Linked DNA regions of Canis lupus familiaris. The protein of the gene in region 1 purifies or fractionates together with the protein of each later gene. This does not show direct contact. Links are inferred from orthologs where the notes say so. Each region holds a gene or a part of one and is shown in the gene's direction. Other genes may lie near its edges.

Region 1 (6,669 bases):
CCCCAGTAATGCTAATTGTGCAGCAAGGAAACCATGCTGACTGCCCTTCGGAAACACATCAACTCTGGAAAGTATGTACCTCTTCGTGTTATGCGCTGAGAACACAGCATCACTTCCATGGTCTCTCTTGGCCAACGTGTGCGACCCCAGTCGAAAACAACGAAACATAAGACAGACCCAACTTTAGGGATGTCCTACAAAAAATGGCAATGTCATGAATTACCAAGAACTAGAACTGTTCCAGATTAAAGAAGTCTGAAAAAGACGGGACAACTGAATGCCAGGCGTGCACGGTTTTGAACCTTGTCTTACTAGGAAAGATTTATTGGAACCACTAACAATGCTTCAGTAACACCCGCAGATTGTAGGAATCCCTGGGTGGCTCAGCGGTTTAGCACCTGCCTTTAGCCCCGGGCATGATCCTGGAGTCCCAGGATTGAGTCCGTCGGATCCCTGCATGGAGCCTGCTTCTTTCTCTCTCTTTCATAGAACAACAACAACAACAACAACAACGACAACAACAAAAAAAACAGACAGACCCGCAGATTATGTATTGTTTCAGCCAGCTTTTCCAGATTCGGAAAGCCAGGCTGTGGATATGTAAGGGGTTCACTGTTGTTCTCTGCGTGCGGTTGTTACGAACATCAAATCAAATGCAGACTCACATACAGGATTCAGCATAAAACACTGGGTAAGGGCAGCCGGGGTGGCTCAGTGGTTTAGCACCGCCTTGGGCCCAGGTCGTGATCCTGGAGACTCGAGATGAATCCTATGTCGGGCTCCCTGCGTGGAGCCTGCTTCTCCCTCTGCTTGTGTCTCTGCTTCTCTGTCTCTCATGAATAAATAAATTAAATCTTAAAAAAAAAAAAAAAAAACACCGCACAAAAACATTGGGTAATTACAAGGATCATCCCTGGGAAGAGAGTCTCACCGCACCCTGCACTCCAGAAACCCCAGCTCAGGTGCACACGGTCCCCTGGGTCCCGGGAGGGTCCCGCTCGCGGTCCCGGTCCAGCCCCTGAGCCCCGGGGGCAGGTTAAAGAAGAAATCTGTGAACAGCCAGCACAAGGCCCCGAAGGCTAAGGGCCTGCCGCTGCCTGCGGGGCACCAGAGGTCATGACCCCGGGCACCGCCAAGGGCGAGCCCAAGGTCGGCGGAGCCTGGCGCCTGTCCGCTCTGCTTGGAGACAGCGGCTGGAGAAACGGACTTTAAGTCGGTAACGGGAGACCCGCCCTCCCGTGCGAGGTGAGCAACCAAGAGTGTTTGTGACATTTCCGCCGTGCCCGGAGAGCCTGTCCAGGTTCCGGAGGAGAGCGCGGCCTGGCCACCGGCCTCCTCAGCCAGAGCCACCGGTACGGGCCGGCTCAGCGCCGGGTGCAGCGGCCTGCGGGTGGTCCAGGCCTACGCAGCTGCCGCGGCCTTCGGCTCAGGCCCTGCCCTGCGCCTGACGCCGGGCTTGGAAGCTAGGGGCGTGCCCGCTGCCTGGGGGCTGCGGGGGCTTCTCTCGGGGGCTGAAGGCCGAGGGCGACGCGGCCGCGGGAACGCCCCGCGAAGCCCGCGCTCACGCGGGAGCAGCTATGTCGCTGGGCTCGCACCATCAACTCCAAACATGGGGAGATAAAATGGCGGCCGTGTCCCTGGCGAAGCCACATACGGGTCCCGCGGCACGCACGACCTACAACTCCCACAGTGCTCTGCGTCGAAAGTGGGAGGGCGGGGAGCGCGCTAGCGACCCTCGATGTGGCGCTTAGGCCCTGTGCCCCGCCCCGCTCCCGGCGGAAACGCTCTGGAATACGTGGCCCGTTTCGGGCCGCTCGCCCGCCCTTCGTCGCACTGGCTAAAGGGATTTGTAGTTCCTTGGCTGTGGAGTTGACCCTCCCTCGGGCCTTAAGAAACTACAGTTCCCGGTGTGGCTTCGGCGCCTGCGCACAATGCCGCAGGGCGTACTACGGTTCCCGACGGGCCCTGCGCCGCGCGCGCGGGTGCGTGCTGACGCGCTTAGTTGGTCGTGCTGACGTGCAGCGCGGCCCAGGCGGGGTGCGAGTGGCGCAGTCGGAACCCGCTGCGGCCCCTGAGGAAGCGAGGAGGCGTCGGTCTCGGCTGAGGCAGGCAGGCGGACCGGCGAGGCGAGGCGGCAGCTCCAGGCCCCGAGGGACTCGGGAGCTTAAGCAGCGGCAGCGGCGGCAACACCTCTCCCCCTCGGAGGCGGCGGGCGGAGGCGGCGGCGGGTGAGAGGGTGAGGGAGCGCGCGAGCCGGGTGGGGGAGGGGCGGCGGCCCCCGGCGCGAGGCCAAAGCGCGCGGAGAACGGTCCAGGCCGCCGCGCGCACGCGCGCTCGCCGCTCCTAGCTCGTGCGGACGCTCTCGCTCGCCTGCCTCCCCTCCCCCCCTCGGCTGCGTTCGGTTCCCGTCGCGCGCGGGCTTTTACTGCCCTCCCCTCCCCCATGGCAACGGCTCGCGCCGCCGACTGCTCTCGGGTTCGCGCGCGCTCGCGGCGGGGAGGTGGGGAGCGCGCGCCTCGGCTTCTCGCCTCCCCCACGCGTGCGGCCGAGGAGGCCCTCCCGCGGCTGCCCCTTCCGACATTTTGTCGGTGGGGAGGCGGCGGCGGGGGCCAGTTCCCCGATCGCTTCCCCCGAGCCCCTCCGGCCTCCGGGCCCTCCTGCGGGCTTGCGGTCCGGCGCAGAGCCGCCCAGACTCCCGGGCGCCGCGCAGCCCCCTCCCCCATGCCTCAAGGCCGAAAATAGGCCTCGGCAGCCCGGCCGCTGCTGGGAGGCCCGGGACGAGGTGTCCGCGCGTCGGGCCCCGAAGCGCTAGGCAGAGGGGCGCTGCAAACCTTGCTCCCCCCACCTTTTTTTTTTTTTTTTTTTTTTTAAGACGTGTTCAGCCCAGGTACGTAAAGGCAGTCTGGGTCTCTCTTAATTCTTTTTTTCATTTTTCCACTCTATAATCGTCTTCTCAAAAGTTGTGTTAAAGCCGAGGAGGCCGTTGGAGCCCTTCCTTGGGAAGGAATCGCTGGGCGCCGTTTCAGGCATTATTTGGCACCCAACTCTCGGAGGCTTCATTTCCACTCACGCTTATCTAAGATGTCGTCTGGACCAGAAATTCGGAGACAGTGTTGTGTTTTAAGTGTGTGCTATTAGGTTTTCTTCTTGAACTAATATTTCAAACTTTCTGGGTTCCATAGTGTCCTCCGAGCCACCGAAATGCCCCCTCTCCGCGCTTACCTATGTCCATTTTCCTGCACGTCTACCTCCTTGTTTTTGGTGCGTTGTCTTCAGTATCTTAGTATTGAATTTCCAGGTTGCTTTCTAACGCTTTGTTAGTTTGGCATTGTGATAAATTTCCCAACAAAAGAAATTCTCTGTTGTCTTGCTTTGCAGCTTATTTTTACTCTGACTTTAGCTTGAGTAACTTTTGTGCTTTCCCAGTCTGTGGACTCCAGTTAAGAATGCCTGTTTTATTACAAAGTTACTTTTTTTGGTTATTTCTCTGTGTTGACGTTCCCCTTAGGTTCTTCCTTTTAGTGTTTTGAGGACTGCCTCTGAAGCTGTGGGATTGGGGGGGGGGCTTGTTCTCTAAAAGTTCTACAATTCGTTGTGTTTTAATACTCTTTTCTCAGCAGCTACTGGTTTTTTCTCCTAATGGAGTGGGAGGATTTTTGTGTGAGGTGGTATGGAAGTGTGGGTGAATGGTTAAGCTGAAGAATTAATTGCATGTCAGAAGCGTTCTTTATGGGAGGCAGAAATTAGGTGGGGTTTAGAGAAAGAGACCTAGGTTTAGAGTAGGGAGGATTGGGATTTGAGAAAATGAAGTGAAGATTGGAAGGTAGAGAAAGTGATTTGTGCTGTAAGGAGATTTTTCAATTTTTTGTGCATATTTACTTGCCTTTCCTAGGTTTAGCTTTGTCTCCTTTACCTTAGGCCTTTTTTTTTTTTTCCAAGCCCCCCCCCCCCCCCCCCCCCCAAGCTTTCTTGGATCTGCTAATGGGATTGGGCAGGGATCCAGCCTTTAGAGTTTGGGGATAGAGGTACAAGCAGTTCTGGAATTCGGCAATTTTTCTTCCATTCGTTGTCTCCCCATACTTATGTTTTTGTTTTAGTATATTTTTCCAGGTGTTTGTATACTTTTTAAAAAAATTTTAGAATTTTAAAAATAAGTCTTTTATCCATTTTTATCTCTTTAACTAATTTTACTTATTTTTTGGGTTTTATTCTTGGGGTAATTTTCCCTCATTTACGCTCTGTGAAGCTGTCTTCGACAGGATAAGATGAGGGAAGAAATAAAGTATACATAATAGGGAAAATAAATAGAGTATGCGTAACTAAGCGATCTAACCAGAAGAATGGGGGTTTGAGGGTTCTTTGGAACAGGTTGAGAAAATAGAACTTGGTAGGAGGCATGGAGATAACATGAAAGGGATAAGACAGGGCTGGAGGAGAAACTCTAGGAAGTCAGATACAGAGGATTGCCAGGGAAAGCTGACAGTTTGAGGTTAGTGAAGATGGGTATAAAGTGTGAGGGGGCTTCTGAATAAGTTGAGGGCAAGGGACGTAGAGAGTACAGGGTAGTTGGAGCAGAGGAGGCTGATTTGATGTGTTCAGAGCATTGAGTTGAGAACAGATGATGTGTAAAAGCTAACGAGACTTGGGTGAGCTGCAGATCATGTAAGAAATCCTATTGGGAAGGAAATTAAAGGAATAAGTTATTAGGTGGGGTTGGTAATAGGAGCTTATAATATTTGGAAACAAGGAAATGGTCTCTTGGGAGGTAAAGAAGAAGAGGATTCTGTATTCAGGAATCATATGTTTATGATAGGCGTGCTGGCTTTTATTCTTGAGTGTGAGGTTGCACAGGACACTTGGTTTATGTTGGAACCAATTAGTCCACAGTTCAAATATGTAGGTTTTGTTTTTGTATCGGGGTAGTCTGAAGTTTTCAGGTCAGTTTTTAGAAGAACCTTTGAACTTGGACTGTGGGCCTTTAGGTGACACAGATCCATGGTGGTGGTTGTGCCGTGTTGGGAGATCCTAGTCAGTTAACAGATGTTTGGGATTAGATTGGTTGGTGGAGACGTCACTTGTGCTTATTGGGGCCAAAGGAGAATAAAGAGGTAGTGTGGAGAAATTTGGGAGAAATAGGTTTCTTTTTTTTTTTTTTTTTTTTTTTTTAAGGGTGGAAAAGAACATTTAGGTGCAAACAAATGGAAATAGTTCTCGCATTTTGGGGGGAAAGGGCTGTAAGCGTAGATGTCATTCAATGGAAAGTATAGGAAAGGTAAGGAAGGGTTTTTGTTAGGAGACCAGGAGGATTATGCAGCTAAAGGAGGTGTAATGTGGAGATTCATGTTGAAATAGGGATGAAGGAGAACAGGGATTTGGGTGGTGGTTAGTTTGGGGTCAGGGCCCTGACCCGTGTTTCCCCGCTCCCCTTCAGGAGCGGTGGTGCCCCCCCCTCCCCCCGGGCACGGGGCCATGTACAACGGGATCGGGCTGCCGACGCCCCGGGGCAGCGGCACCAACGGCTACGTCCAGCGCAACCTGTCCCTGGTGCGGGGCCGCCGGGGTGAGCGGCCTGACTACAAGGGAGAGGAGGAACTGCGGCGCCTGGAGGCTGCCCTGGTGAAGCGGCCTAATCCTGACATCCTGGACCACGAGCGCAAGCGGCGCGTGGAGCTGCGATGCCTCGAGCTGGAAGAGATGATGGAAGAGCAGGGGTGAGGGGAGGGCTGGGGGAGAGCCAAGCACTGAGTGCAGAGCTGGGGGAATTAGGTGGGATGTAGAGCACTTAGGGCTGGTTGAAGAGACTTGGAGAGGAGTTGTAGGAGGGGAGGAGGTTAAGGAGCTAGCAAGTGGAAAGGAGTTAAGGGACAGCTCAAAGTGGGAGATGAGGTAACTGCGACAAGAGGAAGCCTGAGGGAGTCTGAATTATTTAGGTGAAGGTCCTTGGGGAAAGGGGGGAGCCATTGAGAAACAAAAATGTACTTTAAGGGGAGAGGTGGGAAAGCAGGTGTCAGGCAAGAGAAGAGCTAAGGTATAAGCTGACAGGTGTTGCCATTGGTAGAGAAGAGGAAAGTAAACGGATATAAAGGATTGAGGCCTTGGAAAATATCGAAGGCAGGAAAAGAAGAACTGGAATAATAGCTGGATAAGGGGATGATGGGTAGGGAAGTGAAATTTTGGAGCACAATCAGGCAGAAAACCTTTTAGAGCAGTGGTTTTCAAACTTCAGCAGTGGCACCCTTTTTATACAGTGTACCTTACCTTGGAATCTCAGGAAATAGCCTGTTGAAGTTGGGGAGGAACACCTGGAATTCTGCTTAACTTTACTCTTTTGGCCCCTCGAGTGTAGCTTGTTTAAAATCCACTGTTCTAGAGGCTTCAGTAAGCAGAGAGAAGAAAGATAATAGCAAGATTTAAGAGAAAGGCCCTTTGGGTAACAGTGAGTGAAGTTTTATGTGTGCATGGAAAGGAAAGGGATCCTCCTGGGAATGAGGAGACTATAAACTTGGGACTGGGGAAAGTGCCTAGTCAAGCTTTAACCTTGAAGGGATTTGTTCTTTAGGTACGAGGAACAGCAAATTCAGGAAAAAGTGGCTACCTTTCGACTCATGTTGCTGGAGAAGGATGTGAACCCTGGGGGCAAGGAAGAGACCCCAGGACAGAGGCCAGCGT
Region 2 (6,669 bases), on another chromosome or scaffold:
ACATAATAAAAACACGGCTCTGCTGTGATCTCTTGAACCCACTTCTAGCTCCAAGCTCCCTAGAGTGGACTCACCCTCCTTACCATCCCAGAGGCCTCGTGGTCCCCAAGGGGGACCCGCCTGTTATGCTCGTGTGCAGCCTCTGCTGTGTCCTGCAACTCACTTCGCACACTGTATTTTGGGGGAGGGTGTCATCCCACCCTATTAGACTAACCCCAAGGACAAACACCCAAGTCTACCTTGCTCCCCCTTATTCCCGGTGAGCGCGGTTCAGGAGAGACGACACCTGACGAAGTTCTCGTCCTTTTCATGGGCTCTGGCCTAAAATGTTATAAAGTTATTGGCCCCAAACAAAAGGAAGAGGCATTTGAGATGTGTGTTCAAACACAGCGAAGGCACATTGCAGGGAAATGGCGTAGAAGTGTGAAGGCCAAAGACAAACCTCGGTGGATGGTAAGATGAAAAACCTCTGAACAAGTGCAAAGAGGCAGCTGTCCTCTTCTCACTTAGTAGGAACGCAAGGGTTTTTTCTCTCACTGATGTCACAACTTGTAAAGTCACTAATCTTTCTCCTACTCATGGCAAGGTTATTTTCCATGCTCAGTACCTAGAGCAGTGCTGTCCCACAGGAGTATCATATACAGTGTAATTAAAACATTCTGGTAGCCATATTTTATTTTTAAAATTTTATTTATTTATCAGAGAGACACAGAGAAAGAGAGAGAGAGAGGCAGAGACACAGGCAGAGGGAGAAGCGGGCTCCACGCAGGGAGCCTGACGTGGAACTCGATCCCGGGTCTCCAGGATCACGCCCCGGGCCCAGGCGGTGCTAAACTGCTGTGCCACTGGGGCTGCCCTGGTAGCCGTATTTTAAACATAGGTGCAATGAACTGAAATCACATATTTTATGTGACTCAGTATATGTAAAATATTGTCATTTCAGTCTACAGACAACATAAAGGTCATTCACCAGGTATTTTACATACTTTCACCCTGAAACCCACGTGTACTTTACAACCCAGCCCTAGACCACAGCTTGCCAAAACTGTGTGCAACCTCAGAGAGGGCATCCCGAGGGCTTTGGGATGATGCTTCATGGAGTAAGAAGATGTAACAACTCACGTTTTATTTTAGAGTCTAAGAAAGTCAGGTTTAGAAATATTTAAATTCGACTAACACCAGCATTCTCTTCAGGTGTGTTCATCAGATGAACCATCCCATAGGGATTGAATATGTTGGGCCCTTAAGGCCAGAGCTTCTGCAGGCAGGTAGCCCTCGTTTACTTGTTCCCTGCCAATGAATTGTAACCCACTGAACTCTACGCATGTCTGGTTTAGTGGATGAAACGATTATCCGCTTTTTTTCATTAAAGATTTTATTTATTTATTCATGAGAGACACAGAGAGAGAGGCAGAGACACAGGCAGCAGGAGAAGCAGGCTCCCTGTGCGCAACCTGATGCAGGGTTGCAGGACCCCGAGGTCACGACCTGAGCCAAGAGCAGCCGTTCAGCTGCTGAGCCACCAGGCGTCCCAATTATCCACTTTTAAGTAAATGCACCTTCACAACAGAGGAGCACTCAAACAGCCCCGGAAGGACGCCGAGGATGAAAGGCCCAGTGATGGGAGCCACGCCAACGGTGAGACAGGGAGTGAAGTCCTCACCAAGGGAAGGGGCGCGCGCGACTCCCCGCCTGCAGCGGCGCAGGTCGGAGCCAGGTCAGGGGGTGACGCTGGTCCAGGAGGGGCTCTCGGGGACGTCTGGGCTCAGACGCGAGACTGGCTCCCGCGCCCCGAGGTCAGCAGCGCGGGCTCCCCTGCAGCGCGCAGGAGCCCGGGAGCTGCAGGTGCAGCGCAGCAGCGACGCTTTGCAAGTTCGCGCTGCACCTGTCGCGGCGAGCGGGCGCCCTCTGCCCGGGCCTCGGGCCTCAGGCCTCGGCGGGAGGAGGGTGCGGAGGGGCTGTGGGCTCCGCGGAGCTCCCCTGGGCCACCAGCCCCGTTGCAGACAACCCGCGCAATACGCGATCCCCGCCGCTTCGGCCGTATTTATAGGGCCTGGGCGGAGCCCCGCCCCTAGCGAGATCCCGCGGCAGCTTAGACCTCGCGAGAGCAGTAGCAGCCCCCGCCCCTCTCACGCGGAGAGCGGCTCAGGGTCCCGACGCACGCTCGTGCGCACGCGCGCGGTGACGTCAGTTCCTGGCGCCGGCGGCGCGGGGCCCTGCTTCCGCTTTCCTCCGCGGCGCGCGCTCCGCTCTCAGCCGACGCGGGATCATGGCGGCCGTGGCCACGATGGCGACCTCGGGCTCGGCGCGGAAGCGGCTGCTCAAAGAGGAAGACATGACCAAAGTGGAGTTCGAGACCAGCGAGGAGGTGGACGTGACGCCCACGTTCGACACCATGGGCCTGCGGGAGGACCTGCTGCGCGGCATCTACGCCTACGGTCGGGGGCCGCGGGGCGCGGGCGGGGAGGGCGAGGGCGCGGCCCGGGGTGGAGGGCGACCCCCGCCGGGCACCCTGCGCTCGGCCTGCGTGGGTGTCGGGGGTTCGGCGGGTCGTCCCCGGGCGCTTGGGGGGCGCTGCCGCCGCGGATGACGGGCAGGGGCCGGGCCCGCGCTGCCTGGGCCCCGAGGGAGCTCCGGGTACTTCGGGGAGCCGGGATGCTTCGGGCGCTGGTGATGGCTGCGAGGGGGCGGGTGGGGGCTCCCGGGGGGTTGACCTGTGAGCCCGGGTCTGCCCCGAGGAGCCCCTGGCACGACGGAGCAGCCGGTGCCAGTAGCCCGCAGCACGGAGCGGGGTGCTCTCCAGGGCCAGGAGGAAGCGCTCCGTGGTGGGAGCCCAGGGGCTACTCGGGAGCGGCAGGCAGGGCCGGATCTCGCCCAGCGCTCTGTGAGCTGAAGAACAGCTCGCATTTTGTTCCTAAGTGCAGAGGGAAGCCATGGGGTTTGAAGCAAGGGGAGTGGCAACGCTGGGGTCTGCACCCTCTGAGTCCGTGCGCTAGAAGGGGCATGAGAGGTGAGGCAGGGGAGGTGATGACGTTGAGCCGGGGAGGGGTTGAGGATTCCCCGGGCGTTGTGAGCAGCCGGTGGGTGCTGCTGGCGATTGCTCATGTGGGGAGCCCTCGGAGGCAGGGGAGTCTCAGGGGCCTGTGAGCCACCCGGCTGCAGGTGCCGGGAGCCTGGGGAGAGACCGTGTTGGGGGTCCAGACCGGGGCGATCAGCCTCTGTGCTGACGCCTGGGCCTGGAACTCCCTTTACCCAACAGTCCCTGGTGTTAGTTACCAGGTGTAAAGCAGAGAGGGGATGGGAGGTGACAAAGCGGAGGTGAGGCTGATGGTCCTACCCACCTCTCAGCCTCCCCGGCAGCCCTGCCCAAAACACTGTTTTTAGTTTCCCCGCCTGTGTGCTTGCTTGGATGGTCGCTGTGAGGGTTTTTTAAATCATCCGTGTTACAGTTTTAACTTTAGACGGGAAGTCCGGGCTGAGTTTTAAAAGGCTACCGAAGAGTAACTAAGATATATTTTATGCACGTGAGCTTTTGTTTACTTGGGAAATGTTTTTTTTACCCTCTCCAAGTAGCCTCGTTCTAGAGTGATGTCGTAGCTGGTGAAGCTGCATCACAAGTGGAAGGAGCGCAGCGGGCACTCCGCGGAACGGCCCGAGCCGTAGAGTCATTGCTGTGGCAGACAGCACAGACAGCGTGTAGAGCTGATGCAGAGAGGAAAGAGGGGGCGGCCACGGTGCCACTGGATTCATTTTTCTTTCTTGTAGCATAAAAAGTAATGGAAATGTTAAAAGAGCAGCGCAGGCTATCGTAACGTACGCAGTGCAGGAGGAATTGAAGTAAAAGATGAGCCTTTCCCATCCATTCTCAGGAGCACCACCATTAACATTTGGGTGTTTTTTTGTTTTTTGTTTTGTAATCTAACTGGGGTCTCTGCGTTCTGCAATGTTCCTTTTATAGAGATTTTGTCTGTGCACATAAGATCTGTGTTAGTGTAAAAATACAGTTCAACCCAATTCATTCAGCAGCTGTTTCTTGAGCTTTGGTGTGTTGGACTTTGCGCTAAGAGGGGTGGACGTGGGGGCTTAAAAAAAGATACCATCTGTGTCCCAAGGAGCTGCCAGTGTCCTCATGTTAGAACTTTCGCTTTCTTTTTACAGGTTTTGAGAAACCATCAGCCATCCAGCAGCGAGCCATCAAGCAGATAATTAAAGGGAGAGACGTCATTGCTCAGTACGTCACCGGTAGAGAATGGGGTTAGGTGCTTGTCAGCTGAGTACAGCGCTTTGAGGGGACCCCTGTTCTCCCTTTCCACATATGTGTCAGTAGCCCTTTCCTCAGCTTGAGCCACGGTGTCTTGTTTTTTGTTTTTGTGTCCTTTAGAAAGCTGTCATATTCTTAGCCAGCTTCACTTACCTAGCAGCTGGCATGCAGAATGGTTTAGCATACTCTCTTAATGGCTTTATTCCTGATTTGTGTTAATTTTAAAGACTTCTTTACAAGAAAAATTATTTTTGGAGGACGGTTATAGTCCAAAATTGCAGAAGAGAATTACATTTCTATAAAAGGGAGCCTCTTTTTTTGGAGTCTGTAACACCCGTCAGGGTTATAGATCCTGCGGCTCCGACTCCCCTAGTGCAGAAGTTGCATCCTCCTGATCTTACCTTATTGCTCGTGACCCCACCCCGGGCAGTGGAGGAGGAAGCCGCTGTTCTGCAGCTGTCCTGCAGCTGTCCTTTGGAGCACTGCTGTGGTGGGGTGAGGTGAGTGGGAACACATAGCCCATCCTTTTTCACCTCTACCTGTGTTTTCTTGAACAGATCACAATCTGGCACAGGCAAAACTGCCACCTTCAGCATTTCTGTCCTCCAGTGTTTGGATATTCAGGTAATTTGCCAGTCTTCAAATGAACTTATCTTTAATCCTTGGAAATACTTTTGTTTCTTTTGTAACTGCAGTGTCTGAAAAGGACGGTTTTTAAAAATGTGTACTTAGTTGTACTGACTCAAATTTTTCATGATATTCTTAATTACACACTAATAGGAGAGCTAACTAATACTCTGTCCTAAGTTCCTTGTCAGCTAAATGGAGAGAGACATTTTTAGTGGGCATTCTTTTAGTGGCCAAGCAAGAATTCTGCCCAGTGAACCCCATGATGACTGGGTTCACACATGAACTTACATTCAGGTTCCTTTGTCTCTATTAGAAATGAGATGTATGGTTAATGCGATGTAACATTCAAGATAGATCTGCATCTGACTTCGTGCAGTCTGCCTTGAGAATACTGAGGATTCTCTGTTTTCTGACAAATTATTTTACCAGGTTCGTGAAACCCAGGCTTTGATCTTGGCTCCAACGAGAGAATTAGCTGTGCAGATCCAGAAGGTGAGCCACTGAGAGTTAGTGCTGTATTCCCAAGTGCTGCTTTCTGATTCAGGTGTAAAAGGTTGGCTGGTTGATTTAATCTAATCCTGTTTTTTTCCCTCAAATTTTACTTCCTGATTTTTGGCATAAATCATTGTTATGATTTATGTTGTTGGTTTATACTGAGTCATTTTTACTGAGTCATTTTTAGTGTAGCTGGTATGATTCCAGTATCTTTTTGCAGTCTCAGAATTGTAGTTTTTTTCAACAAAGAAATCATTTTAGTAGTTATTTTTGTACTTTATATTAAGATGTTGTTAGAATTGTTTGTGAGTGGCTAAAATTATGAGTTTTACGTATTTCCAGGGCTTTTTGTAATTAAAATGTATTTCTTTCATAAGAAACCAGTAAAGTGAACTTTATTTTGGCATGGAAGCAGGAGGTTGGGTCTTTTTGTAGTTTTATGGTGTAAACGATGGAATAAGTAGTACTTGGTATGTCGGAGTAGAGATTACCTTCACTTTGGGGAAACTTGGAGGTCTCTGACTTTGGTCCTGAGGTGAGGCCCCAGACGTGACCCTTGTTTTAATTCAGGGTCTGCTCGCTCTGGGGGACTACATGAATGTGCAGTGCCATGCCTGCATCGGGGGCACCAATGTGGGAGAGGACATCAGGAAGCTGGACTACGGGCAGCACGTTGTTGCTGGCACACCTGGACGTGTCTTTGGTAAGTGCTTGGGGCGTTACAAGAAGTGCTTGAAGGACCCAGGACCGTTTCCATTTGCTGTGCTGTGTGGTAGCGCTTGCGTGCAAGTGATGTAAGAAGTAGGCAAGAGGCCTCAGAAATGCTCTGAAAACCAGGGGGAATGGCTGGCTGTTTCCTCGTGGTCCGAGGTCTAAGGATATCAAACTGATTCCACAGATATGATTCGGCGCAGGAGTTTGAGGACACGGGCCATCAAGATGTTGGTGTTGGATGAGGCTGATGAAATGTTAAATAAAGGTAGGAGTCACGAAAGCAGAGATTTTCTCTTGACTTTAATGTTAACACGTTCACATCGTGGAGCTGAAACATGGAGCTAACGCCAGTGTTCTCGGTGCTAGCAGATGCCCTCGTGCTCTCCGGGCAGCTGTGAACGTGAAGCTTGTACTTGGCTCTTGGGGAGCTGAGAGCAGTCACGGCCAGAACCACAGCATCTCCGCCCAGACTGGCGCAGCATTGCTCCCACATGTCTGGAGCTCAGCATAGATGGGGAGGTGTGCGGCTGAGATGAGGCGTGTAGAAATGCCTACTGTGGGTTGTGGGG

The links. Proteins that work in one complex are often made in the same cells at the same time.
Region 2: the proteins of SRRM2 (region 1) and EIF4A3 purify together in Homo sapiens (affinity purification with mass spectrometry; 3 studies listed by BioGRID and IntAct, with this or other methods). This does not show direct contact. The link is inferred for Canis lupus familiaris from reciprocal best matches to the Homo sapiens genes SRRM2 and EIF4A3.

The regions. Positions count from the first base shown.
Region 1 is NC_049227.1:38,734,665-38,741,333, forward strand, and holds the start of SRRM2 (serine/arginine repetitive matrix protein 2), read left to right. Parts: upstream 1-3,209; 5' UTR 3,210-3,224; coding exon 3,225-3,261; intron 3,262-5,431; coding exon 5,432-5,711; intron 5,712-6,559; coding exon 6,560-6,667; intron 6,668-6,669. UniProt on the Homo sapiens protein: Required for pre-mRNA splicing as component of the spliceosome. As a component of the minor spliceosome, involved in the splicing of U12-type introns in pre-mRNAs.
Region 2 is NC_049230.1:2,443,178-2,449,846, forward strand, and holds the start of EIF4A3 (eukaryotic initiation factor 4A-III), read left to right. Parts: upstream 1-2,210; 5' UTR 2,211-2,269; coding exon 2,270-2,438; intron 2,439-4,158; coding exon 4,159-4,231; intron 4,232-4,818; coding exon 4,819-4,885; intron 4,886-5,320; coding exon 5,321-5,383; intron 5,384-5,956; coding exon 5,957-6,089; intron 6,090-6,284; coding exon 6,285-6,365; intron 6,366-6,669. UniProt on the Homo sapiens protein: ATP-dependent RNA helicase. Involved in pre-mRNA splicing as component of the spliceosome. Core component of the splicing-dependent multiprotein exon junction complex (EJC) deposited at splice junctions on mRNAs.